3 linked regions of the Struthio camelus genome follow. The protein of the gene in region 3 purifies or fractionates together with the protein of the main gene of each other region. This does not show direct contact. Links are inferred from orthologs where the notes say so. Each region holds a gene or a part of one and is shown on either strand. Other genes may lie near its edges.

Region 1 (7,545 bases), on a different chromosome or scaffold from region 3:
TTGGGCACTAGCTCCAGATCAGTTCTTGGACTCACATCAAACATTACCCTGTCATTTATCCAGTCAGTCAAAACAATGTTTTCCATCTAAACCTTTAATGTTTATGTCCTGAAAAACTGCTAATTGAATCCAGCTCTCAAAATCCATTTTTTAATCTATACTATCTAATTTAGAGATAATGAACAGAAAAGATAAGCATTACACAATGATTGCAAAATGAATCCTATAAATACTCAAGCCAAAACAGAAGACTGCTAGTTTTGTAAGGCCAAAGAAAATTACGATTAAATAACATTTGCCAGTTTGAGAATAAACTTTTAAAAACACTGGAATATACAGATTCTTTTAATTCCAAACAGTTTTAGAATTCAAGAGTCTTCACACTGCTTTTCCAATCAAAAAGGGTAATCAAAACCACACAGAGCGCTTAAAACTATTCCTAGGCAAGAACTGACAACATGTCAGTTCAATTAATAAAGTTCAGTTCAGTGCTTATAACAGCTTTCCTTAAACATGTAAAACTTCCTTATAACAAATGACTTTATGTGAAACAACATGCAATTAACCAAAGCACAAAATACCTCAAGCATTTTTAACTTGAGAAATAGGCTGATGTTTCATATAAACTTCCAAAAAACCAGAACTGGTACTCAGCAACTGCAAACAGCTGCTAGAGCTGGAAGAGTCCCTATAAAGGCAATTTTGCCTGCATCCTGTGTTCTGCATATATCCTTCCTAAAATATAAGACGACAAAAAACTCAGAGGCACGTCTTAAGATTGTATCTGCTTCTTTTTGCACTGCACAGCTACGCAGTCTCCTAAAACTCTGTAAGTAAAACTGCTGCTTATTCCTTGCTCACGGTCATAATCCCCCACAACATATTTATATTGTCACAGACAGATGACTATATACTTAGTCCTTAATAAAAATAAAATAAATATAGAACGTGAAATCCAAAGGTGAAAAAGACAACTCCCTAAACAGGTATTTTCCATACTTTCACATGAGGCTCCAGACCATTTTTAATGTTTCAAAAATAAAGCAAGTCTGAGCACTCAGGAAAAAAAAAAGAATTAAGTACTGCATCAGTACAGCAATAGCCTAAAGAGCAAGCTACAAAACACACTGTAAAAACAAGGCAGCACTGTTCCGTGCATCAGTCCCAGCTATGCTTATTTTAAGAGTTTTATTTCTAAGTGGAATATAGAGACACTCACAAATCTCTATGAAAACTAGATTACAAATTTAGGCCAAGTATTTCCAAAGTAAAACATAAGCAGATACATTCATTTTCCCTGTAAAAATAGCATATTTTGAAAAAATAGGAAAACATCTCTTCATTAGACAGTAGCTGGAAATATTTCACGGGCACTTAAAAGTAAATATACCAACCCTTCCAGCTTTGTTTTTTTTTTTTTTTTAGTGCTGATTGGATATTTTTTGCCAGCAGAACCACTATCCTGGTAAAACACACTATTTGAAGGCAACAGTATTAGTAATATTAGCTACTATTTTCTAGTCTCTTGCCTTCATGCACTAAGAATTAGAACACAAAGTATGTGTTTTGTGCTGGTGTGGGTTTACAAAATTTTTCATCAACTCTTTTCTTTCAAAAGGGAAAGAAACACATTTTTTTTGTCAGGAAAGCTCTAGCAACGCTCCCCAGAGTTTCTCCTCTAAACCTATTTGCCTGGGTTCTTACTGTTTAAAAAAAAAAAAAACAAACCACATACTTCAAGGACTTAGAAATAACTTATTTCCCTTCCCAGCACGCAGGTGAAGAGTTTCTGACGGTATCTAAAAAACACGAGGGGTCAAGCGATCTCCTGAAAGCGGGCTGGCAGCGTCAGGCATGAGGGCAAACCAACTGGGTACGACTTGAACTGAGGAAGTCGGCTGGGGGGGGGGGGGGACACAAACAAAGAGATCAAAACAAAGAGTGTGACAGTTTCTTTCAAGTTTACACTGGGAAGAAGGCCGGGGGTTGGGGGGAAACACGGGGGTTGGGGTGGTAGGGGAGCTGAGGAACAGGGTAAGGGAGGCAGCGCCGAGGAGCTCACACCGGCCGGCTCCCCCCGCGCCGAGGAGGGCGGCGGCGGCGGGGCCGGGAGGGGAGGGCGGCAGCGGCCGGCTGCCCCTCACCGCCAGCCTGGGCGCCGCCGCCGCGGGGCACGGACATTTTCCTCACGACGACCCCCCCCCCTCCCCTCTATGGCGGGGAGACGATGGGCGGCGAGGGAAGAGTTCACCCCTCCACACACACACACACAGAGACAAGAGGCCTGAAAGGCTGCTCCGGCCCCAGGTTCAATCTCAAATACACACGGAGGCGGCTCGCCCCCGCCCGCCCCCCTCCAGCTGGGCTCGGCGCGCGGAAAGGCTCCGTGGGCGCCTCTGCCCGCGGACGGCGGGCTTCCCCTCCCCTCCCGCCCCGCGGCGCGGCGCGCAACGGCCGCCTCGCCTCGCCCCCCGAACCCCTGCTCGCTTCCTCTCGGCTCTTCCCTCACGAACTCGCCCCCTTCCCGCCGCCGGACCGTTGGCGGAGGCCAAAGGCGGAGAAGGCGGGGGGGGGGAGGGGGGCAGGCAATGGCAGCCCCCGCCCGCCCCGCCGCCGCGCTCGCCCTCACCTGTCAGTCGCAGCTTGACGGGCCCGTTTCTCCGGGCCCCTTGGTTGGACATGTCCCCGGCTGCTCCTCGGGCTCGGCGCTGCCTGGCCCGGGGCTCCCCCTGCCTCTAGGTCCGGGAAGGGAGACGGGGCGGGCAGGGGGGAGGGGACGCGCTAATGGAGTCGGGCCGGGCGCTCAGGGAAGCAGCAGCAACAGCAGCAGCAGCAACAGCGGCGGCGGCCGCCGGAGGAGGAGGCGGAGGAGGAGAAGCCCGGATGTGCCCAGCGTCGCCATGAGCGGGGCCGAGGAGGAGGAGGAGGCGGAGATGCCGCCGCCTCGCCTCCCCGCCCCCTAGCCCGGAGCCCGGCGGCCAGCACAACAAAGCCGGCGACGGAGCCGCACGGCGGGCGGCCGCCTCCCTTCTCCTCCCCTCTCCCTCGCTTCCCACAGGGTGTTTCCCCCCCCCCCTGCCCGGGCAGTGGGGCGCGGGGAGGTGCCCACGGCCGTGGCGTGGAGACAGGGGAGCGGAGCTCCGTAACGAAGCGGGGTGTCCGTGTGGGGTTTTTTTGTTTGTTTGTTTGTTTTTGGAGAGCTGAGGGGACTGAGAAAGCCGAAGGGGTCAAGGCCGTCGGGGCGGGCGGGCGAAGGCACGCCGAGAGGTTGGGTGGCGCGGCTGAGCACCTCTGATGCTGGGTGATGGTTTGCGTTGAGTGAGGTCTGGCAAGCTGGTGGTGGAAACCACTCAACTTTGGGCTAGTTCGCTGGTGGCCAGCGCTCTGTAGGGACGAGCAGCCAAGTCTGGCAAAGGACCGTCCCGGAGAAGGGAAAAGCTGCCTTGTATCCGCGCTGCCTGGCCTAATTTTGCTCCCGTCGGTGACTCTTTCAGGGACTTCCAGGCTTTGCAGGAAAGCGAGGGCGGCGAGAGACGCAGCACCGGCAGGCAGCTTTCAGGGGGGCCTGTGGAGGACATGGGGCCTCCCAGACGAGCCCTGAAGGTTGCCACAGTCACCTTCACGTTAGAAGATGACTAGCACCTCTTCTTACTCATAACCTTACTAATGGTTTATTATGCTTTGCACACAAATCATGCGGTTGTGTCATTGCACGGGCAGCCTGTAACGTATTATCGCACGGGTAGTCATAGATCAGGATCCATCCTATGGATGAGGATTCAAACGTGGGATGAAAACGTGACCCATGCTTCATTGAATTTATAACGTAGCTTCTACCTAACACAGGTAAAGTCACCCAGAAGGCAGAACTGAACCATAAGCATACCTGGAGGTGTCCCATCCGGACGGAGGTCAGTGCTTGGGCTGTATTAAGTCAAACCGGGGTCCACTGAAGGCCTCGGAAGTGGGATGCGGTGCTCAGAGCGCTGGGTTGTGCAGACTCGCATCTCCTTCCTTCCACAGCATGTCTCAAGCAGCAGGAGGAAGTTTTCAGTGCTTCCTGTTGCAGTGGCGCCACTGCTGCAGTGTTAATTCACCTGGGAGTGGAGGAGTCCTGGGATCGAGCCCTTTCTTCATACAGAGCTATTTCTTTCCTGTGCAATGCCTGTTAATCACAACATTAGCAAGTGTTAGTAATGGACCTTTCTTTACAGAATAGACAAAGCATAAGAGAAAATGCACTGATTCATTGCTTAGCCATTTTTTCAAGCAAAGAACATTTAAAACTAGTCAAGTCTAATCTTCATTAATTTCACAGCACAGATGTAATTTATATGCTGTACTGAAACAGTTAAAAAGTTATTTCTTAGTTATGTAAATACAGACACACCACAAAGACGTTCCAGGTGTCCTGATTCCTGCATTAAAAAATAAATAAATAAAACCAGCCTTAATGATGTAAGGCCATATTAAATTTTCAATCTGTTGCGAATTCATACAGCCAGGTTATTAGCCTTTTGTAAAACTAACTGCATAAAGCAAATGGCAGCTGGTTTGCAAATATTGCAACATTACCTGGCCACTGCTGAACAGAATAGAAAAACAAAATATAAAGCCACTTTTCACATGCTTCACATATTTCTAGGCTACAGTAGATTTTTCTAACATGTAATGACCCCATTTAGGTCAGGACTGTGTCCTCTCTCCACTAACATGAGGAGAAATGACCTAGACCAGGTTGCACTTGGACAGACAAACGTACCAGGTGCAAAATACAGTCTTTTTTCCTTCTGGCTTTGTAAAAACATTACTATAAATGTACCCTGGGTGTTCTACGGATGTTTCTGTCCCATCATATCTCACTATTCTATAGAGAAATCAGTATTTCTATTCGCTGTTCCCCTTCACTGAGTAAAATTGCCAGACAGTGAGGAATCTGTGCAAAAACTGCATTGAGCAGCGGTCAGGAAGCATTGCGAAGTGCCAAGAACTGCAGGGAATGCGGGAGACCAAAAATATTGACAGTACCTGATGACTGAAAGTGCTACTTTTCCAATAAAAGAATTTCACACAGATTTCATGATCCAGGGAGTTTCTTGTGCCAGTGCTATCCCCCAAGTTCTCAAAATACTCTGAGATTAAGGTAATAGATATCTCACTGATCCTGCTTTGGGTTTTATAAGCCAAGCATTTACAGTAAAGTTTGTCTTTGTGCATTACCATTTCAAGGGTGAAAAGAGGTTTCACTCCATAGTGCTGATCTTGTGAGGTAAGCAGGGAAATATCATCATTAACTGCTGACAAGTGATCCGTGTTTCACTCTGGGCTGATATCATTGAGCAACAAATCCTTTCAAGATGAGGTAGCTAGCTGAGATCCGGAGGGAAGGGAGTGCCTTGCATCACCCCACAGCTCACTTTTGGATGACAGCCTCACTGCTGGACTCGGGAGGGAGTTCCACCGAGTCGTCTGCAGCCAGAAGTTAGCGACTGAGACACAGTCTCAAGGGTTGCAGGAAATTATATATGAAGGGGGTAAGCTCAACCATCTTTAGGACCCCAGCGGGGCTGCAGAAGGCTCCACAAGGACAAAATAATTTAGTGGTTGGTATTATGTTAGTAAAACTTTTGGGAAAAAAAAAAAGTGGAACTACAAAAACTTCTTTTGTTCCATGACTGCACAAAAAAGGGCTTTGATTCTTGAATTTCCCAATAGGCAGAAAAAGAAGGCTTTGCATTCAGATATTTCTCGAAGGATTTAGAGGTTTTGGACACTGGAAAATGTGAACAAATGTCTTTAACCAAATAGTACTCATTTTCAGAAGAGGATATTTGTAGTTAATTTTTCTGAGGTAAGGTCCTCTCCATCTTTAGAAATAGAAGAATATACTGGAAACTCATTCCTCAGCATGTGGTATGTGTTCAAAGCACATCAACATGTAAGAATTACATTCCATTTCTTTCTGTATGGAGGTTTAATCACACCACATTCCTTTAGCAGTAATGAGAGCTGGCTGGTGCTATACCACATTCTTCCCTAGCTTCTGTGATGATATCAGGAAAGCAGGAGAGTCCTGACCCTATTGTTAAGCTTTTGTGAGTAAATTGAAAGGCTAAAATAGTATTTTCCTCAATTTTAAAAAATAAGTAAACTTACAATTGTCAGTGTTGTATTTCTTCCTACTAGTCTTTCTTTACCTGGTGCGATTTAGAAATGCCACCACTAGAGATCATGGCATTAAAACCAGAGTTAATCAGAAGAAAATTAAACTTCTATTCCCTTTTCTCTATGATGTATTTCCATTGTATGTGCAACCGTTAATGCTAAATGGCTACTTCTGCCACCTAACAGTCTAGTTCTGAGAGGAAAAGCATTGTAGCAATATACACCTAGATGACCCCGTTAGGATTTAAATTTGTCAGGTCCCATTTGATTTGAAGATAAATAAAATTGAAATATTTATGCAAGTCCCTGATCTCATTCTTATAATGTCAATGTTTTTCTTTTTCAGTAAAGTTCTGTCCAAGTTGGCAAAAAAAGAAAAACAAGTATGAATTATATGAATTGATTAACATTTATACCATCAGCGTTTCCTGTTCATTTCTTATTTTACCTGATTAACTAATTCACTTTCAAAGCATTCCTGTGTACCTCTATGCAAGACATCATTAAAAAAGAGTCTTTCTGTTTCCTGACTTCATACTGTGTTCTACACTAGCATGTTCTCTCTGTCCCAAGCCAATTTCCATGACAAACAGCAAGGATCTTCAAAGCAGGGACTTTCTCTTATCATGTTAATACAGTGCCTAATGCCAAGTAAGCCATACCTGAGTTGATGTCCCAATGCGCTACTCAGTAAAATCTAGTCATTAATAATGATAAACTTACAACATCAAGCTCAGATTCCAACATTTTATGAAAACTGGAATCTGGAGAAACTATTTCTCAAAAGAGCAATGGCCATAGCGAGGTGTTTCCTTTAAAGATAGGCAAAATACTAACTGTGCTGAAATACTCAGCAAGAGATCAGCGAGCAAAAGCAACTGGACCGTGGCCGCTACAAGCCCTGTGAGAGTCACACAAGTAAAAGATGATGAGCTTGGAGCAAGACCCTGTATTGCTTCACTGTCTGAAAGATAATGAAACAAAAGGTGCCTTGATTTTGGTGTCCTTACTCAGCTTGAAGAATCTTTTTATGCCTCACTAATTTCCACAGCTCATGACTTCCAGATGCCACCTAGAATGCTGTTCTCTTGTGAGCTCTCTCAGTCTTGACCTACTCCATCAACATCTTTGACTGTTAAGGGCACCACTCTCCTAGCCTGTCTCTTTGGTGCGGGTTTTTCTTTTAATCCTTCTTTAATCCTTTCATAACTTCTTGCTACAGCAAAGGCACTTCCTAAATTCATGCAGATCCATCACGTTTTTGTCCTGTCCCTGAACAGAAGAACTTTGTCCTCTAGGAGGTTCTTTTTGTTATCTTCCCTGCTGCTACTCTGTACAAAAGCATCAAACTCATCTCTACTGAAGTCACATATGAAGTGC
Region 2 (7,774 bases), on a different chromosome or scaffold from region 3:
AGCTCCCTCTTCCCATTCTCAACTTCTCCTGTTTCCACACACTTAACCTCCTCCCCCCGCCCCCCAAACTCTTCTTTGTCTCTCTATGACATGTTTAGTTTTCTCCCCTATCTGCCTTCACTCACTGGAATAACCAGTCTCTGTCCCTTGCTATAATTACTAGCTATTCCAAACTCTAAGCTTTAAGAAAAGAGAATATTTGTGGTTTCTTCTCCATTTTCACACTCTACAGTTGCCTTGTTACTACTAGAGTGCCTCCTCGGAGTTAGGTTTTCCATATTGAGGTTTCTCGGAGCTCCTAGGTAGAGGCCAAGGGGATTATCCTTCTGTGTGGAGAGTCCAAACTCTTTGGAAAGTTCTCTGCTAGCCAAAAGTATTGCATTAAAAAAAAAAAAAAAGTCTGTATTCCTCTTATTTAGGAGGACATATCATGATCTAAAAACAGAACAAAAGGAACTTTTGTGAACAAATTCCAGGACTGGGAGTAAGAAGCTGGAAAACCTACTCCTCTGCAGTTTGCAACTGACTCATTCTGAGACAAATCACTGAGTTTATCTAAGCACCAGTTTCCATGTCAGCAAAATAAAGAGGACTTACTAGATTAACACTAATGAAGCAATTTCAGAACATCACTGGAGTGTGGCACAAAAGATTTTTTCATTCCACCGCCTTCATCCAAAGCTGTTTTAGACTTTATAAGCTGTATCAAGCATACACGACTTTGCTGAAGTAATTTACAATGATGCAGTATAAGCCTTCTGTAGACAGCCCAAAGCAGCAGCACTCTGCAGGTTTGATGATCAGGCTCAAGGGTTGTATAAGCAGCTGACACTGACCTACCAAACAACTTAGGGTAAGTCATGTTCGCGTCTCAAATTAAATAGTGAAGATAGCATTTATCCATGTCCCCAGGATGTTGCTAGGCAATGATCAGAAGGAAAAAAGCATTCATATTTACAGCCACCAGCCCTTTTAAGTCCTCCACACTTCAGTTCCCTTCTCAGACACTGCAAATCCTCCAACCCTTTGGATTCCCGCAACCTCAACCATTAAGATCTCTCTACTGTCACACCTCTGGTACTAAGGATTCTAAATTCCTGTCTGACAACACTCTTGAAATACTTATTTTCTCTTCTTTGCTGTTGGTTTGTTACTTGGAAACCCTGTCTTTAACAGAAGAAAAGCCCAGAGGGAAATCACTTATAATTTGGCTGCTACACTGATCAAAAGATCTGGAGGGCAAGATGTAATCTGTAACATCTAAAGATTACTTCATTTTGCCTCAACCCAAATGCAAAAATCATATCCCATACATTCATGCAGGGAATCAAAGAACATTCATTCTGAAAAGGGCGGGAGAATGCTCCTCCTGGAAAGCGTGATGCAACATGTGACAACTGCCTGGGGGGACATCAAAGATCATCTGAAACTTCTCATTACCTAGTAACTTCCCTGATATCTTTGGCCAAAGCGATCCTTCCCCTACCTTGCAGCAGTGAATCTCACCTATGTTGTCCAACACGCTAACATGGGCCATATCACAGTGCCCTATCCATATTGTTTGGACACTGCTTTGGGCAGCAAGAGCCTCTAAAATAAGTAGGACTTTTAAAAGCACTACCTACATCAACTGCTTGCTCCCTTCCCATACCATACATGACACAATCAGTGCACTACACATGTGGACCCCACACGCAAGCAGTTTGAAAAGTACTGAATTAGGAATCAGTTTTTCAAGATGAAGAACACAGGTTGGCACTAGTGATAAAAAGCAACAATGAAGAAGCGTATAAAATTACAAATGGCCATTTTCTATCATGCTGGATAGATTAAACATGTGACATCAACTGTACTACCTCAAGCACAACCAGAAAGCATGTAATACAAGAGGGGAAGAAAAGAACCTTTGTTTTAAGCATTTTAAGCACTATATCTCTGTTTTGAGACCATTTTTGATCAATTTCTTCCCCTGTGTTCATCTAATTGACCTGAGCACAGGGTTTAAAAAAAGACTTAGTAGTCCATCAGCCTGAGAGGTCACAGAGAAGATGCCATAAACCTGTAGTTGATTTCACTTCCCATGCTGATTTTCAGACCTATGAGAAATCCAGCGGTGCAGGGGTGGCACTTTCCTCCTCGTGGAGCTGCAGTGTGGCCCTATGGGGGGGGGGGGGCCCTGCGCACTGCAGACCTCAAGGTTCAGCAGGGGCAGCACCAGATAGAGCTGTCCTCCTTCAGAGCAGGGGGGGTGGCACTGAACCCCCCTGGGAAGAGCCCCAAAGAGCCTGGAGCAGGCCTAACCCCCCCCCAGCCTCCCAGCAAAGCCCTCCAGACTCTGTCATGGCCCCCAAGGAGGACCCCCTTCTCAAGGAGAACTCCCACCCTTCTCATCTAGAAAGCTGATAGGCCCCCCGTGGCCTGAGCCCCAGCCAATCAGCGACCCCCCACGCGCCCCTCTCCGTATGTGCCCGCTCCCCCCACCAGGTCCTCATGCAGGTGTCGGCGGGAACGGGCCCGAGCCAATCACAGGTGGCGGCTGCGCGAGGGGGCGTGGCTCGGACCACCGCTGCTTCGGCCCCTTTAAGCAAGAAAACTTTGCCTCGCCATCTCGAGACCCCCCCCCCGCACACGGATTGGCTGGTCGACGGAGCCGTCCAGCTCTTGCTGCTCGCCATTGGTGGACAGCGCCTGTCCGTCAAAGCGGCACGCTCCCCTCATAGGCTGGCGCTCTCTCAGGCCCGCCGTGGAGGCGGGGATGGCCGCGCCCCCTCGGGGCTCTCGCCGCCGCTTCCTGGAGGAAGGGGGTCCAGCCAGCGGGCGAGCCCACCTCAGGGGCGCGGGGGAGGGCAGGGGAGCGGCGCGGCGCGGGGTCGCGGGAGCCTCACCGATGCGCTGCCCCACGGGGGAGCTGAAGGGGTTTCCTAGGAGAAAGTCCATCGCTGCCGCCGCGCCGCGATCAGCTGACTCCGCCGGCGCCGCTCACGTGACGCCCGCGCGCCAGGCCGGGGCGTGCCTCCGAGGCCCAGCCACGCCGTGACGAAAGCGCCCCGCGCTTAACGGCCGCCGCCCCGCCGGTGGGGGCGGGGCCGGCGGAGATGGAAGGTGGCCGGTAGTCCGTCAGGGACGGAGCCACCAGAGCGCTCCGGCCCGGCCGCCCTCCCCGCGGAGGGGCCCGGGAACGGGGCCGCTCGCTGAGGCGCGGAGCCGGCCGCTGCCGGAAGCGCGGCCTCCTGTGCGGCCGCCCGGCCGGGCCCGGCCCGGCCCGGCCCGGCCGCCGCCGCCGCTTTCGCGAGCGGCCACAGTAAACCGTGTGTCGGTTGCAGCTTCAGGCTGGAGCGCTTTTCTAACCTGACCGCTTTGAGCGGTTGGTCGTGGCTGTTGTTCACCAGTGGGGCTGAAGTCCACCGTGCGTTTTCCCTGCGGGGAGGTTTTGAATGCTATTTTAGTAGACAAGGCAGTTGTTTGCAGCCACAGCTTTGAAGAGCCCAGCTACCAACAAGTACGATTTCCCTGCACGCGTTCTTCCTACCTTCTTTCACAGCTATTTACAGTGTGGCACCAAGACAGGCTGATGTGGCTACTGATGTATCTTTTTGCTACCATTTTCTTACTGAAACACTAGAACAGTTTCCTCAAATGCTCTTCTGTATCTATGCAGAATAAACATTACCTAGAGCTGCATTGAAATGCGTGAAAGCATGTAGTTATTGGCTTTTATTTTTCCATAAACTTCTGTTGAAATGTACTTAAAACAAGGAATACAAGTTGGCTAGTAAAGTATCACGTTCTGCAACAGCCTCATGTCTTTGGACATCACACACGCTGAGGGTGTAAGTGGCCAGTGCATCTGTCAGACCCTGGAAATGGGGACATGTTAAGAACTAGCACTGATTATGATCTAACTTTGCCATGCCTGTAGTTCCTTTCACTGTCTTGATCTTGAGTCCCCTGTACTGTTTCACCTTAACACCACAAAGGTGAACTGAAATGAGAGAACAGGGAAGAAAAATGCCCCATGCTGTAGGATTTGCCATGCTAGATGTTATCTTTCCCTTCAGGAAGGTCTCCAAATTGTCAGTATTCTTTGAGTGGTATTTCAGGTGAACTGTGCTATTAGAACTAGAATTGCTTGTTCTTAAAACAACTGAGATGAAGGAATTTAAAATTAAAAGTGTTTTGCCGAGAAACACGAAATACTAGTAGGAACAACTGTTGCAAGAAAACATAGTAAACACTAGAAATGAATGACAACACTCCAAATGTTAAAAAAAATTATATTGTTAAGTACAGTACAAAAGAGTTTCTTTATATAATTGTAATGTAATCTGGATCAAACAGCAAGGAAATAACAAAAATATAAAAACTGCTAAGTGTCACCAAAGTTTTCCCTCTAGTACCAAATACCACAAGATACAGATTATACAAAGTGTACAAATTTTAAATAAAAATACAATACACTAGGGTTGTGTGTGTTTTTAAACTCTTCAAGAGTTTTCAATTGTACAGATGACAAAGCAAGAGCTGATCTCCTTCTGTTTCTTAGAGATCTAGCCCTTTACCACAATGCTCTCAGTTGTAAAGAGCTGGAAAGAGCCAGTGACTTTGTGCCACTCCCAATAGCAGATGCTTTAGTAAGGGTCCAGGATCACAAATTGAATTAGACTGCCTCCCTCCCAAGCCTCTTCCCAATTCCAAGATCTCTGTGATTAGTCATATATTGTCCAAACAGGTATTCTGTGGTCTGAGGCTTCAGATAAGAATTGACATGATAGTTTCAGAATCTTCTGCTTCATCCACTTAATTTACTGAGAAAACAACATTGAACTGAGAAAAGGTCTGTAACAGACAGACTGCTTTGCACTGGCACAGTTGGGGAATATATGGTAAAGAGGAACGGGGAGAAAAACCCTCCTGCACACCTGAGGATTTAATTTAAATATGATTTGGGACTCAGCCATAATGAGGGACAGCTCACTTTCAACTGCCCTGAAAAAGAGAAACTACACTTCAAATTGGAAGTAGTCCAAAAGTGCTCTTCTATCATTTTGAAACTTTTATGCTATAAGGGCTGGAGATCCTGGGGTCAAATTAAAAAGCTTTCTATTTCAGCTTCTACCTAGCTTCACAAGATAGTCTTGTTTTTTACAAACACTTAAAGTCTTGCTGCTGTTTCCCCATACAGAACCAATGCATGCTACTGCACGTATAGCTGATGCCTGCAGGAAGTGAGGTGACGCACACCTGATTCGTGTTTTCCACACACTGTTGGTGGAGGGAGGGATTTTTGCTTTTAAATTATATACATATATATATATATATATACACACACACACACACACACACACACACAGAAATATACAGGATAAATTAAAATCTGTTACAGATATTGGTAAAAGTTAAATACACATGATATGAACACTACATACACATACATACAGACACACAAAAACCTATATGAGAATCAAGTGCTCTCCTGCAGCTCTTCTTCTAGAGGAGCAGAAAACCAAAATACCAAGTATGTGGCTGGAAGGAAGGGGAATCAGTCCAATCAACTGACATGTGCCTTGCTCAGCCATTACTGCTTAAAACTGGTCATTAGTCACTGCCTCACAGCAGCACCGTGGCTCTTTCAATACTGCTGGTGAAAGGGATAGGATCAGCGATCTCAGAAACTCAAGTCCTGTGTTCACAAAACACATGCAAGACGAACAGAAGCAATCCAGGTTTCTCCCATCTGCTACCACTCTCCTCTCCACCAGAAGACTGTGCTGCATTCAGAGGGGCCTGGACAGGCTGGAGAGGTGGGCGGGGAGGAACCTCCTGAAATTCCACAAAGGCAAGTGCAGGGTCCTGCACCCAGGGAGGAATAACCCCATGCAGCAGGACAGGCTGGGGAGTGACCTGCTGGAAAGCAGCTCTGCAGAGAAGGAGCTGGGAGTCCTGGTGGACAAGTTGAGCATGAGCCAGCAGTGTGCCCAACAAGGCCAATGGGATCCTGGGGTGCATTAGGCAAGAGTGTTGCCAGCAGGTGGAGGGAGGTGATCCTGCCCCTCTACTCAGCCCTGGTGAGGCCTCACCTGGAGTGCTGTGTCCAGTTCTGGGCTCCCCAGTACAAGAGAGACATGGCGCTACTGGAGAGAGTCCAGCGGAGGGCTACAAAGATGCTGAGGGGACTGGAGCATCTCTCCTCTGAAGAAAGGCTGCGAGAGCTGGGCCTGTTCAGTCTGGAGAAGAGAAGACTGAGAGGCGATCTGATCAACGTGTATAAGTATCTGAAGGGGGGATGTCAAGAGGATGAGACAGGTGCCCAGCGACAGGACAAGAGGCAACGGGCACAAACTGAACCACAGGAAGTTCCATCTGAACCTGAGAAAAAACTTCTTCACGGTGAGGGCAACAGATCACTGGAACAGGTTGCCCAGAGAGGTAGTTGCAGAGAGGAGTCTCCTTTGCTGGAGATATTCCAAACCCGTCTGGATGTGATCCTGGGCAATATGTTCTATAAGACCCTGCTTGAGCAGAGAGGTTGGACTAGATGATCTCCAGAGGTCCCTTTCAACCTCAACCATTCTGTGATTCTGTGATTCTGTGATTCTGTGATTCTGTGAAAGTGGGCTGACCAAGCCCTGGAAAAATCAGCAGGAGGTTCATTCTCACAAGCCAGTGCAGTCTGTTGATACCTCACGCTAATGGCAATTTGGATGCCAGTCCACAAGAAAAGAACAAATGTTTTGCCATCTTCACCTTCAAACCAAATGCAAGCTACCAGACCAGCCAGCTGACGCTGACAACTTTCAGTCATCAGTCACTGAAGAGGGAAGCTTGGAAGTTGTGACTCAGAGGTGAAGACCTCTATATCTTTTATCAGCTATCCAGCTTTTCCCTCAAGCAGTAGATTTTATACTGAAAAAGTTAGAAACAGGGCTGGTGAAGAGTTCAGTTCTACTCCTTGGTCCACAATAAATTAGCATCTCTAACTGCCCACAGAATAATTGTCAGGAGGTCATCTTGTCCAACCTCTGCTTAAAGAAAGTCTAACTAGAGCAGGTTGCTCAGTCAGTTTCTAAATAACATCAAGGATGGAGATTCATACCCTCTCTGGACAATCTGTTCCAACAACCACTCTTAATATTTTGTTTTTTATATCTAGAAGTCGATTCTCTAGTGGGTGCTTCCCCCACTAACAGATCTGAATTTAAGGCTAGTATCTCAAACGCTTTCTGAATTCTTCATAAAAATACTTTCAAATTGGAGTACATTTCATCCACCAACATAAAAGGGTTCTCTCAGCTTAAATTCACAACTGTTCATGAAATTAATAGAAGTCAAATAGTTACAATCCTATGTATATAGTATACAGATATAAAACGTTAAAATCCTACACACGGAGCCCTTAGAGAGTGCCGGCGTAGTGCATATGCACGCAAGTCAGTTATGCAGAGGTTGAGCACATCCCAGGATTTCTTCCTATCAAAGTCCAGGCATGATGTAGGCAATGTTGTCTAGTGTGTTTGACTGGGAAAAGAAATTCAATATTGTTTAACATCAGATAATGACTCAAAATCCTTCAGAAATGACACAGATAAGGAGGTTATTAAGCATCTTCACTGTCTTATAAATTACCATATGATGAGACCATACGACTATTGCCTAGTCATCACTACCACTGGTAGGCTAATTTCCACATTCTTGGAAATATAAGTAAATTAAACACAAAAGTAGCCTTGGTATTTGGAAGCAACTGGAAACAAAGAAAACACTTAAGACTTCCCTC
Region 3 (8,088 bases):
GCAGCACCGCGGCGGGACGCGCGCCCCCGCCAAGCCCCGACCGAGGTTCCCCGCGGGGCTTCGCACCTCTCTCCAGGGCGAGGAGGAAATCGCGGTTCCTCTGGAGCTCCTTCATGAACTCCTCGTTCTGCAGGAAGAGCGCGATCCGCTCGTCTTCCAGGTACTGCTTCCACCGCCGCTCCTGCTCCAGGGCGCCCTGGCCCCGGGGGCCGAGGCCGCGCGGCACCGCCGGCCGCCCGCCGCGGGAGCCCTGCACGGAGCCAGGCACAGGAGGCGTCGGGCCGCGGCGGGCGGCTCGGTGGGGAGCCCCGCGCCGCGGCCCAGCTCCCGCCGGCTCGGCCCGCGGGCCGTGGCGAGAGTCAGCAGCGCAAGGGTATTTCCAGCCGGGAGCGGAGGCTGTTTCAGCTGGGAGCCGGCGTGGCACAGCTGGGGACCCCGCTTCGCCTTGCAAATGCTTCACATGGAAAGGCCGGGGCTAAGCCTGTCGGCGAGGCCGGGCAGGAAGGTCTCCCCCAGCCAAATCCCTGCTCTTATCCCCCCACCCAGAAGCGCCCCGGCCGCCGGCTCCCTCCGCGGCCGAGCGGAGCAGAGCCGCGCCGGGCAGCAGCAGTCCCTGCATGGCGATATCCATGTGCCTCCTTAGCTGCTCTCGGCGAGCCACAGAAAGCAAAAGCGTGCAAGCAGCAGGAGAGGAAAGGAGAGCTGCTGCTCTCCCCCCGCCGAAGCCCGAAGGAATTGGCCACGCTCCTGTTCCCAGAAAGGTAATAGAGCCGGCGAAGCTGAGCTTCCCGGCAGTCCTTCCTGGAAACGTGGCAGCCTGCTCCGGAGCCAAAAAGGGAGGGAAGAGGCGAGCGCGGGGGCCCCGCTCCGGGCGGGCTGGGGGCCCCGCGGGACGCGCCGGGCGCAGCGCCAGGCCCTGCAGAGCCCGCAGGCCGGGCGGCGCGGCGCTCACCTGGGCGCCGGCGGGCGGCCGCGGCAGGATGCGCAGGAAGTCCTCCGGCAGGTTGCCCAACAGCGGCGGGTTCCAGTTGCGGTAGCGGCCCCGGGGCTGGGCGCCGCCGGGCGCCTCCGTCCTGCGGGGCAAGCGCAGGCAGCCGCCGTCGGCCGGAGCGAAACCCCGCCGGCACCCGCGGCACGAGGCGCCCAGCTCCCCGGGATCCCGGGCCTCGTCCCGGGAACCGAGACATCGCTTCTGCCTCCAGAGACCCACCGAGTCAGCGTCAAGCCACCAGAGTGACGGGCTTTTCTCCTTAGTCCCCACTCTCTGGGAATGGCTTTCCGAGCCTTCCTCCGCAGCCGGGAAGGCCAGGCTTTCCCTCGCCTCTCCCTTTTGCAGCGCGGGCGCTCTAACACCGCAGCATGGGCTTGCCAGGCGGCAGGGGCAGCCGCTCGCTGCCGGCCGGCGGGATGCTGCGGCCGGCGCCCGCCGCGAGCGGGCCCCTACGCCCCTACGCCCCGCTCGGGGCGGGAGCAGCTCTCCAAGGCTCGCCACGCTGACGAGGCAAGGAAACGAGGCGGCGAGCCCCCGGCGCCGGCCCGGGCCTGCAGACGCCCCCTTCCCGCCGCCGGTCCCCAGCTGGGCCCTCGATCCACCGGCCCTCTGCGAGGTCGGGCAGCCGCGGCTCCGCCGAAGAAGCCACCTGGGGTTTTCGAGAGGCGGCTGCCGCTCCCCCGGCTCCGCTCGCTGATTTTTGCCGTTCCCCTCGGCCCGCGAGCGGCTCCCCGGCCCCGCAGCTGTCGGCTTCCCAGCGCCCCGCCGGCATTTTGCAGCCAGCTGCGAGCTTCATTCATCTCCCTTGGCTTCGTCTCGCCCGGCCCTAATTCAGCGACACCAGACGCCCCTCGGAGAGGCCGGGTCAGGCTCAGCGACAGCCCGTTTGCGCGGCCCGGCCGGCGCGAGGCTGGGTCGGGCATTCGGCACGACGCCGGCGCCGGCGGCCGCGGCTCCGGGCGCTCACCTGGGCGGCGGGGCGGGCGGCGCGGGGGCCGGGCGGCTGCCCAGCGCCGGCGCCTCGTGGGCCGGAGGGGAGTACACGGGAGGCGGCTCCTCGTCCGAGCTGTCCGGCTCCAGCGTCCGCTCCAGGATCTGGGCGATGGGAAAGACGGGGTGAGAGCGAACCGGGGAGCCATTTGCCAAATGCAGCTGCAAGGAGAGATGGGGCAAAACCTCCCGGTGCAAAGCAGGAGCAGGGTGCCAGCACGGCACGGCACAGCACGGCACGGCGCCGCCGGCACCCTGCGCTCGCCCAGCCCTCGGGGGCCAGGACGGGAGGAAAGCGGTCGGGCTCAGCCTCCACCACCCCCCGGGCCAACCGGCCAGGCTGCGTCCTGCACGCCCGCGGGATCGGACGCCCCAGCGCCTGCACCTCAAAGCCGCAAGCAGGCAGGTTTGCTCCCCTGCTGCTGCTGCTCCCGCGCGCCCGGGGACGGGGCGAACCGCCCCACCGGACGCTGCAAGACGCAAGGGGCGGCACGGAGACGCCCTCCGAATTCAGCGTGCATCACGAAGGTCAAAGCCAGCGCTAGCTAAAAGCAATCCCGCGGCTGCATGCATCAGCAGCCTTTGGTGTCAGCCACCGTATCCCGTAGGCGTGCGCGTTCCCCACGGGAGCGAGCGCTTTTCAAACACCCACGACAGGAGAGCATCCCGGGCTGCATCCCGGGCCCCCCGCAGCCCGGGGACTCACCTCCGGGGGGATGCTGTCCTCCGAGTCGGAGCTGTCGTCGCCGTCGCCGCCGTCCAGGCTCATCTGCAGGAGCTGGTCGATGGTGGCGTCGACGGCGCCGCGGTTGGCCCGCAGCACGCACTCGATGATGTCGTAGTCCATGCGCGGGAACATGGTGCTGAAGTCCTCCATGGCCTGGTTGAACTCCAGGCGCCGGACCTGCCGGCCGGGCCGGCTGTTGTTGAGCTCGGGCGCCGCGGAGCCGCCGCGGGAGCCGCCGCTGCTGCTCCGCCGGAAGAGGCTCGTCATGCTGGGGAGGCGCGGGGGGCCAGCCGGGCGTCACGGGCACCGGCCGGGGCGGCCGCGGCACGGCATCGCGGCACGGCCCTCGGCGGCGCCGCGGCCCCCCCGGCCCTCCTGCGAAAGAGGAAAAAAGAGAAAGGAAAAAAAAAAAATCACCATCTGGGAAGAGCATCGTGGGCGGAGCGGCGGGATCCCGGCGCGGCCGGGGGACGAGGCGGCCGAGCCGGAGCCTCCTCGGGCGTCCCTGTGCACAGACAGGACACCTGGGTTTCCATAGAAAACGTTTTTGGGAACCACTTTCATCTAAAAACATTCTTGGAAACCCCCCCTTCAAGGGCTTTTTCTTTCTCTTTTTTTTTTTTAATTATTTTTTTGTTTGGGGGATTTTTAAAATCTTCTTTTTGCAGCCCTGCAGAGCAGGCGGGGGCGCAGCGTGGCCTCTCGCCTCAGCTGGCGACGCTCAGCTCGGCCCCGCTGCCGCCCGCGCCGCGGCCGGAGCCCCCGCCCTGGGCATGCCGGGCCGGAGCCGGGCCGGCCGCGCCGCCGCGGGCCAAACGCCATGGACCCGCTGCAAGCCCGTTCAGAAAACACCGCTATTTCCTCTCCAAAGGGCTCCACAGATGGCTCCGTTCCAGGTTTCACACTTATTTATAAACACACTAGACTTGCTCTTTAAGAAAAAAACCCAGCTCCGACGCTTCCAGAGCAGGGGGCAGAAGCAGTCTGCAGCGCCCCAGCTCAGCCCCCGGGAAGAGCCACCAAATCCAAGATTAACATTCACTGTAAAACCATAAACAGATTACCCCGCTCCTGCTTCTCATGCGCAAACGCAGGGCCAAACTCGCTGCTGCCTTAAGCCCGCCGTCCGAGCGACCCCAGCAACGCTGCAGATCCACAGCGTCGCGTCCAAGGGCTTTGCCCTGAGCGGCGGGCAGCGAGTCCGAGACAAACCTGGGCGGCCGGCGGAGCAGGGGCAGGGGCAGGGGCAGGGGCAGGGGCAGGGGCAGGGGCAGGAGCAGGAGCAGGGGCAGGGGCAGGGGCAGGGGCAGGGGCAGGAGCAGGGGCAGGGGCAGGGGCAGGGGCAGGGGCAGGGGCAGGGGCAGGGGCAGGGGCAGGGGCAGGAGCAGGAGCAGGGGCAGGGGCAGGGGCAGGGGCAGGAGCAGGAGCAGGGGCAGGGGCAGGGGCAGGGGCAGGGGCAGGGGCAGGAGCAGGAGCAGGGGCAGGGGCAGGGGCAGGGGCAGGGGCAGGGGCAGGAGCAGGGGCAGGAGCAGGGGCAGGGGCAGGGGCAGGGGCAGGAGCAGGGGCAGGGGCAGGGCAGGAGCAGGAGCAGGGGCAGGGGCAGGGGCAGGAGCAGGGGCAGGGGCAGGGCAGGAGCAGGAGCAGGGGCAGGGGCAGGGGCAGGGGCAGGAGCAGGGGCAGGGGCAGGGGCAGGGGCAGGAGCAGGGGCAGGAGCAGGGGCAGGGGCAGGGGCAGGGGCAGGGCAGGAGCAGGGGCAGGGGCAGGGGCAGGGGCAGGAGCAGGGGCAGGAGCAGGGGCAGGGGCAGGGGCAGGGGCAGGGCAGGAGCAGGAGCAGGGGCAGGGGCAGGGGCAGGAGCAGGGGCAGGGGCAGGGCAGGAGCAGGAGCAGGGGCAGGGGCAGGGGCAGGGGCAGGAGCAGGGGCAGGGGCAGGGGCAGGGGCAGGAGCAGGGGCAGGAGCAGGGGCAGGGGCAGGGGCAGGGGCAGGGCAGGAGCAGGGGCAGGGGCAGGGGCAGGGGCAGGAGCAGGGGCAGGAGCAGGGGCAGGGGCAGGGGCAGGGGCAGGAGCAGGGGCAGGGGCAGGGGCAGGGGCAGGAGCAGGAGCAGGGGCAGGGGCAGGGGCAGGGGCAGGGGCAGGAGCAGGGGCAGGGGCAGGGGCAGGGGCAGGGGCAGGGGCAGGGGCAGGGGCAGGAGCAGGGGCAGGGGCAGGGCAGGAGCAGGAGCAGGGGCAGGGGCAGGGGCAGGGGCAGGAGCAGGGGCAGGGGCAGGGGCAGGGGCAGGGGCAGGGGCAGGAGCAGGGGCAGGGGCAGGGGCAGGGGCAGGGCAGGAGCAGGGGCAGGGGCAGGGGCAGGGGCAGGAGCAGGGGCAGGAGCAGGGGCAGGGGCAGGGGCAGGGGCAGGAGCAGGAGCAGGAGCAGGGGCAGGGGCAGGGGCAGGGGCAGGGGCAGGGGCAGGAGCAGGGGCAGGGGCAGGGGCAGGGGCAGGAGCAGGGGCAGGGGCAGGGGCAGGGGCAGGGGCAGGGGCAGGGGCTGGGGCAGGGGCAGGGGCAGGGGCAGGAGCTGGAGCAGGGGCAGGAGCTGGGGCAGGAGCAGGAGCTGGGGCAGGGGCAGGGGCAGGGGCAGGAGCAGGAGCAGGGGCAGGAGCAGGAGCTGGGGCAGGGGCAGGAGCAGGAGCTGGAACAGGAGCGCGCCGGCGAGCCCGGCCCCTGCACGCAAACAGCCCGGCCCAAACCCCAGCCCAGCCCAAACCCAAGCAGCCCTGCGGAGAGGAGACCTGCTGCAGCCAACGGCGAGATCGGCAACGACATACTGTCTCCAAAACGCCGAGTGGCAAAATCAGGCCCCAAAATCTCGAGACGTGCTGAAAATTCCCCAGATCTGTTTAAAAATCCCAAGATCTACAGAGTAGATGATAAGCGCATGCCGTTGGGGCTGTTTGCTCCCCAGCGTTGGACCGCCAGGTGTATATGTAAGGTCTCCCCGAAGGGTGGGAAACGCCGTTTCTCGAGCCCCCGAACGGCCCCTCGGGGCAGAGCGGGAGCTCCTGTCCGGCGGGAGCCGAGCGGCTCATCGCGTGCGAACGGCTCCTTTCCGGGGAGGGTGTTCGTCAACATGACATAAGAGCCTGCGACGACTCATTTAAATTGCAGCCCCTGGCAGACAGCGCGGCTGAGTGCCGCCGCGCGCTGTATAATTGAAAGCTGCTGGTCATAAGGCGAAAAAAGTAGGGCTGGGGACAGCACATCTGGGCGCCCGAGAGGCCCCGCTGCACATCTGGCGCTAAGCGGCGTTGCGGGACCGGGGCGCGAAGCCGCTGCTGATAATCCGCAGAGATGCAAAGCCCTGCCCTGGCGCGAGTTAGCCGAAAGGCTAAAGGAGCGGCTCCGCGTAGGGGGCCTTCCCCAGCCCCGTCCGCCAGCCCCGCTCCGCGGCGGCAGCGAGCCAGGGAGCTCCAGGCCCGCGCCGCTATCGCGGCCATGCCGGCGAGGGGCTGGGAGGATGCCAAGAAAAGCAAAACCGTCGGGATTTCCCAAAAAGGAAAGCAGAAAGCTCGTGCCTGGCTGCGGCCGGCAGGGAGAGCGGCGGCGGGCGCGCGGTGGCTGCCCCGGCCGGCACCCGGCGCTCCCGGGACCGGCTCCCGGCTCCCGCGAGCCCGCTGCAGCCCGCCTGCGACGACGGTGCTCATCTCGCAAGACAAATTTTCAGCTCTGACAGCCTCGAAAGGACTCCAGCACATACCCCGAGCGGGCTGCTCTTCGCCTCGTGCCCCCCGTCGGCAAAGTCAGATCATGACCACTCGTTTAGCCGTGGCCTCATCAGCTTTCTTCCTGCCTTAAAACAGTTTGGGCTGTTCCTTGTTCATGCAGAGAGGGCCCTGAGTGCTTTTATTCGAATGAATGAACGAATAAAGCGCGGCGGCCCCAGCGCCCGGCAAGGGCCGGCGCTGCCCGCGCGCCCAGGACGAGCCGCACGGGAAAACGGGCAGCTGCTAGAGCCTCCTCGACGCCTGCCCTGCCGGGAAGCCGCCGCACGGGGCCAGCTTTATTCCAGACCCATCAGCACGGAAGCAGAGGGAGAGATGAGCCCGACGGCGACCCCGCTGCAACCGCGGGAATGCCTCCGGAGAGCGGGAACAGCACTCTCCAGCCGCCCGGGCGCCGGGGCCGCGCAGCACGCAGACCTGCAGGGGCTTTGCCGCACGCTTTATCCCCCCGCCCAGGGCTGCTCGGGGCGCGGGGGCCTGCACAGCCCACCCCGGCCGCCGCTCGGGGCGCAGGAGCGGCGGCAAAAGCAACCGCAGCTCGTGGGAAATGTCAGCAGCGAGCTGCAGCGCTCCGGCAGCCCTGGGGAGGGGACGGTCCGTCCCCGTGCACCCGCCGTCCCCGGGCTCGTGGCCACCGGGACACGCCGGGGCCAGGGCGACCCGCTGCCGCCCGCTCGCCGCGGCCACCTCCCGCCCCCGGGCGCGCCGGGAAAGTTGGGCGAGCGGGCGCAGCGCCGGGGCGAGCCCTCCCTGGCCGCCTCCCGGGCGGCCCTCTCGCACCGCAGAGCGCAGTCGTTGCTGCGGGACGCCAGCTTTTACCGCAGCATCTCCGCCATCCGGGACGGGGCAACTAGGAAGGACAACGGCGGTGGGGTGCTGCTGAGGCCCTAGCCGGGACGCGCCTGGTGCAGGGGGCCTTCTGCTGCCGCGGCGGGCCAGCTCGCCCCCGGCGAGACCGCCCCGAGCAGCACAGAGGCAGTTAAAAACAATCCCAAGGCTTTTGTGCTCCCCTAAAGACGTTACGTCGGTCTTAAAAAGCACAGAAGGGAGAGCGCGCGGCCGTAACCGGGTCTGCGCTGCCGGCCTGAGCGCCCAGCACGGCTGCCCGGCACGGCACGGCGCGCCGCCAAACGGGACCGGCCCCGATTCCCCCCTCTCTCGCCCTGCTGCAGTTGCCGATTCGCCCGGCGAAGGCGCTGGCCCGGCGGCCGCCCCGCGCCGAGCCGCGCTGCCGAGGCCGCCGGGGCCGTTCCCGCGCTGCTCCCCGGCGCGAGCTGCCGGCGCGGCTCAGCCCAGCCGGTCCCCGGAGGCTCCCCGACGCCGCGGGACCGGGGCGTTGCAGCGTAGTACAAAAATAAATACTTCAGCCAAAGCGGATTTGCTGAGCTCTGCCTTCAGCCAGGCTCCTGCAAAGGGATTTCACCGTATAGGAACCGGCAGCTGGGCAAGGCGGCTACTCGGTGACTGCAGGTGTGACTACAACAGCATTAAAATTAGGATGAGAAGTGAACAGTCGGAAACAAAACTTACAGTTGTTTCTACCGGCAAATAGAAATTCAGAGCAGGCACGGAGGATGTGCAGGATGAGGCCCTTCTGTCGTAGTCGTCTTTCCAAGCCCTCGT

Evidence for each region.
Region 1: the proteins of CUEDC1 (region 3) and SMURF2 purify together in Homo sapiens (co-immunoprecipitation; 3 studies listed by BioGRID and IntAct, with this or other methods). This does not show direct contact. The link is inferred for Struthio camelus from reciprocal best matches to the Homo sapiens genes CUEDC1 and SMURF2.
Region 2: the proteins of CUEDC1 (region 3) and TOM1 purify together in Homo sapiens (co-immunoprecipitation; 3 studies listed by BioGRID and IntAct, with this or other methods). This does not show direct contact. The link is inferred for Struthio camelus from reciprocal best matches to the Homo sapiens genes CUEDC1 and TOM1.

Annotation. Positions count from the first base shown.
Region 1 is NC_090960.1:4,577,486-4,585,030, reverse strand, and holds the start of SMURF2 (E3 ubiquitin-protein ligase SMURF2), read right to left. Parts: upstream 3,037-7,545; 5' UTR 2,682-3,036; coding exon 2,630-2,681; intron 1-2,629. UniProt on the Homo sapiens protein: E3 ubiquitin-protein ligase which accepts ubiquitin from an E2 ubiquitin-conjugating enzyme in the form of a thioester and then directly transfers the ubiquitin to targeted substrates.
Region 2 is NC_090942.1:59,891,317-59,899,090, forward strand, and holds the start of TOM1 (target of Myb1 membrane trafficking protein), read right to left. Parts: upstream 3,021-7,774; 5' UTR 2,938-3,020; coding exon 2,886-2,937; intron 1-2,885. Other genes in the region: HMGXB4 (HMG domain-containing protein 4), read right to left, coding at 7,471-7,515.
Region 3 is NC_090957.1:20,582,019-20,590,106, reverse strand, and holds the start of CUEDC1 (CUE domain-containing protein 1), read right to left. Parts: upstream 3,083-8,088; 5' UTR 2,976-3,082; coding exon 2,688-2,975; intron 2,087-2,687; coding exon 1,959-2,086; intron 1,074-1,958; coding exon 953-1,073; intron 251-952; coding exon 67-250; intron 1-66.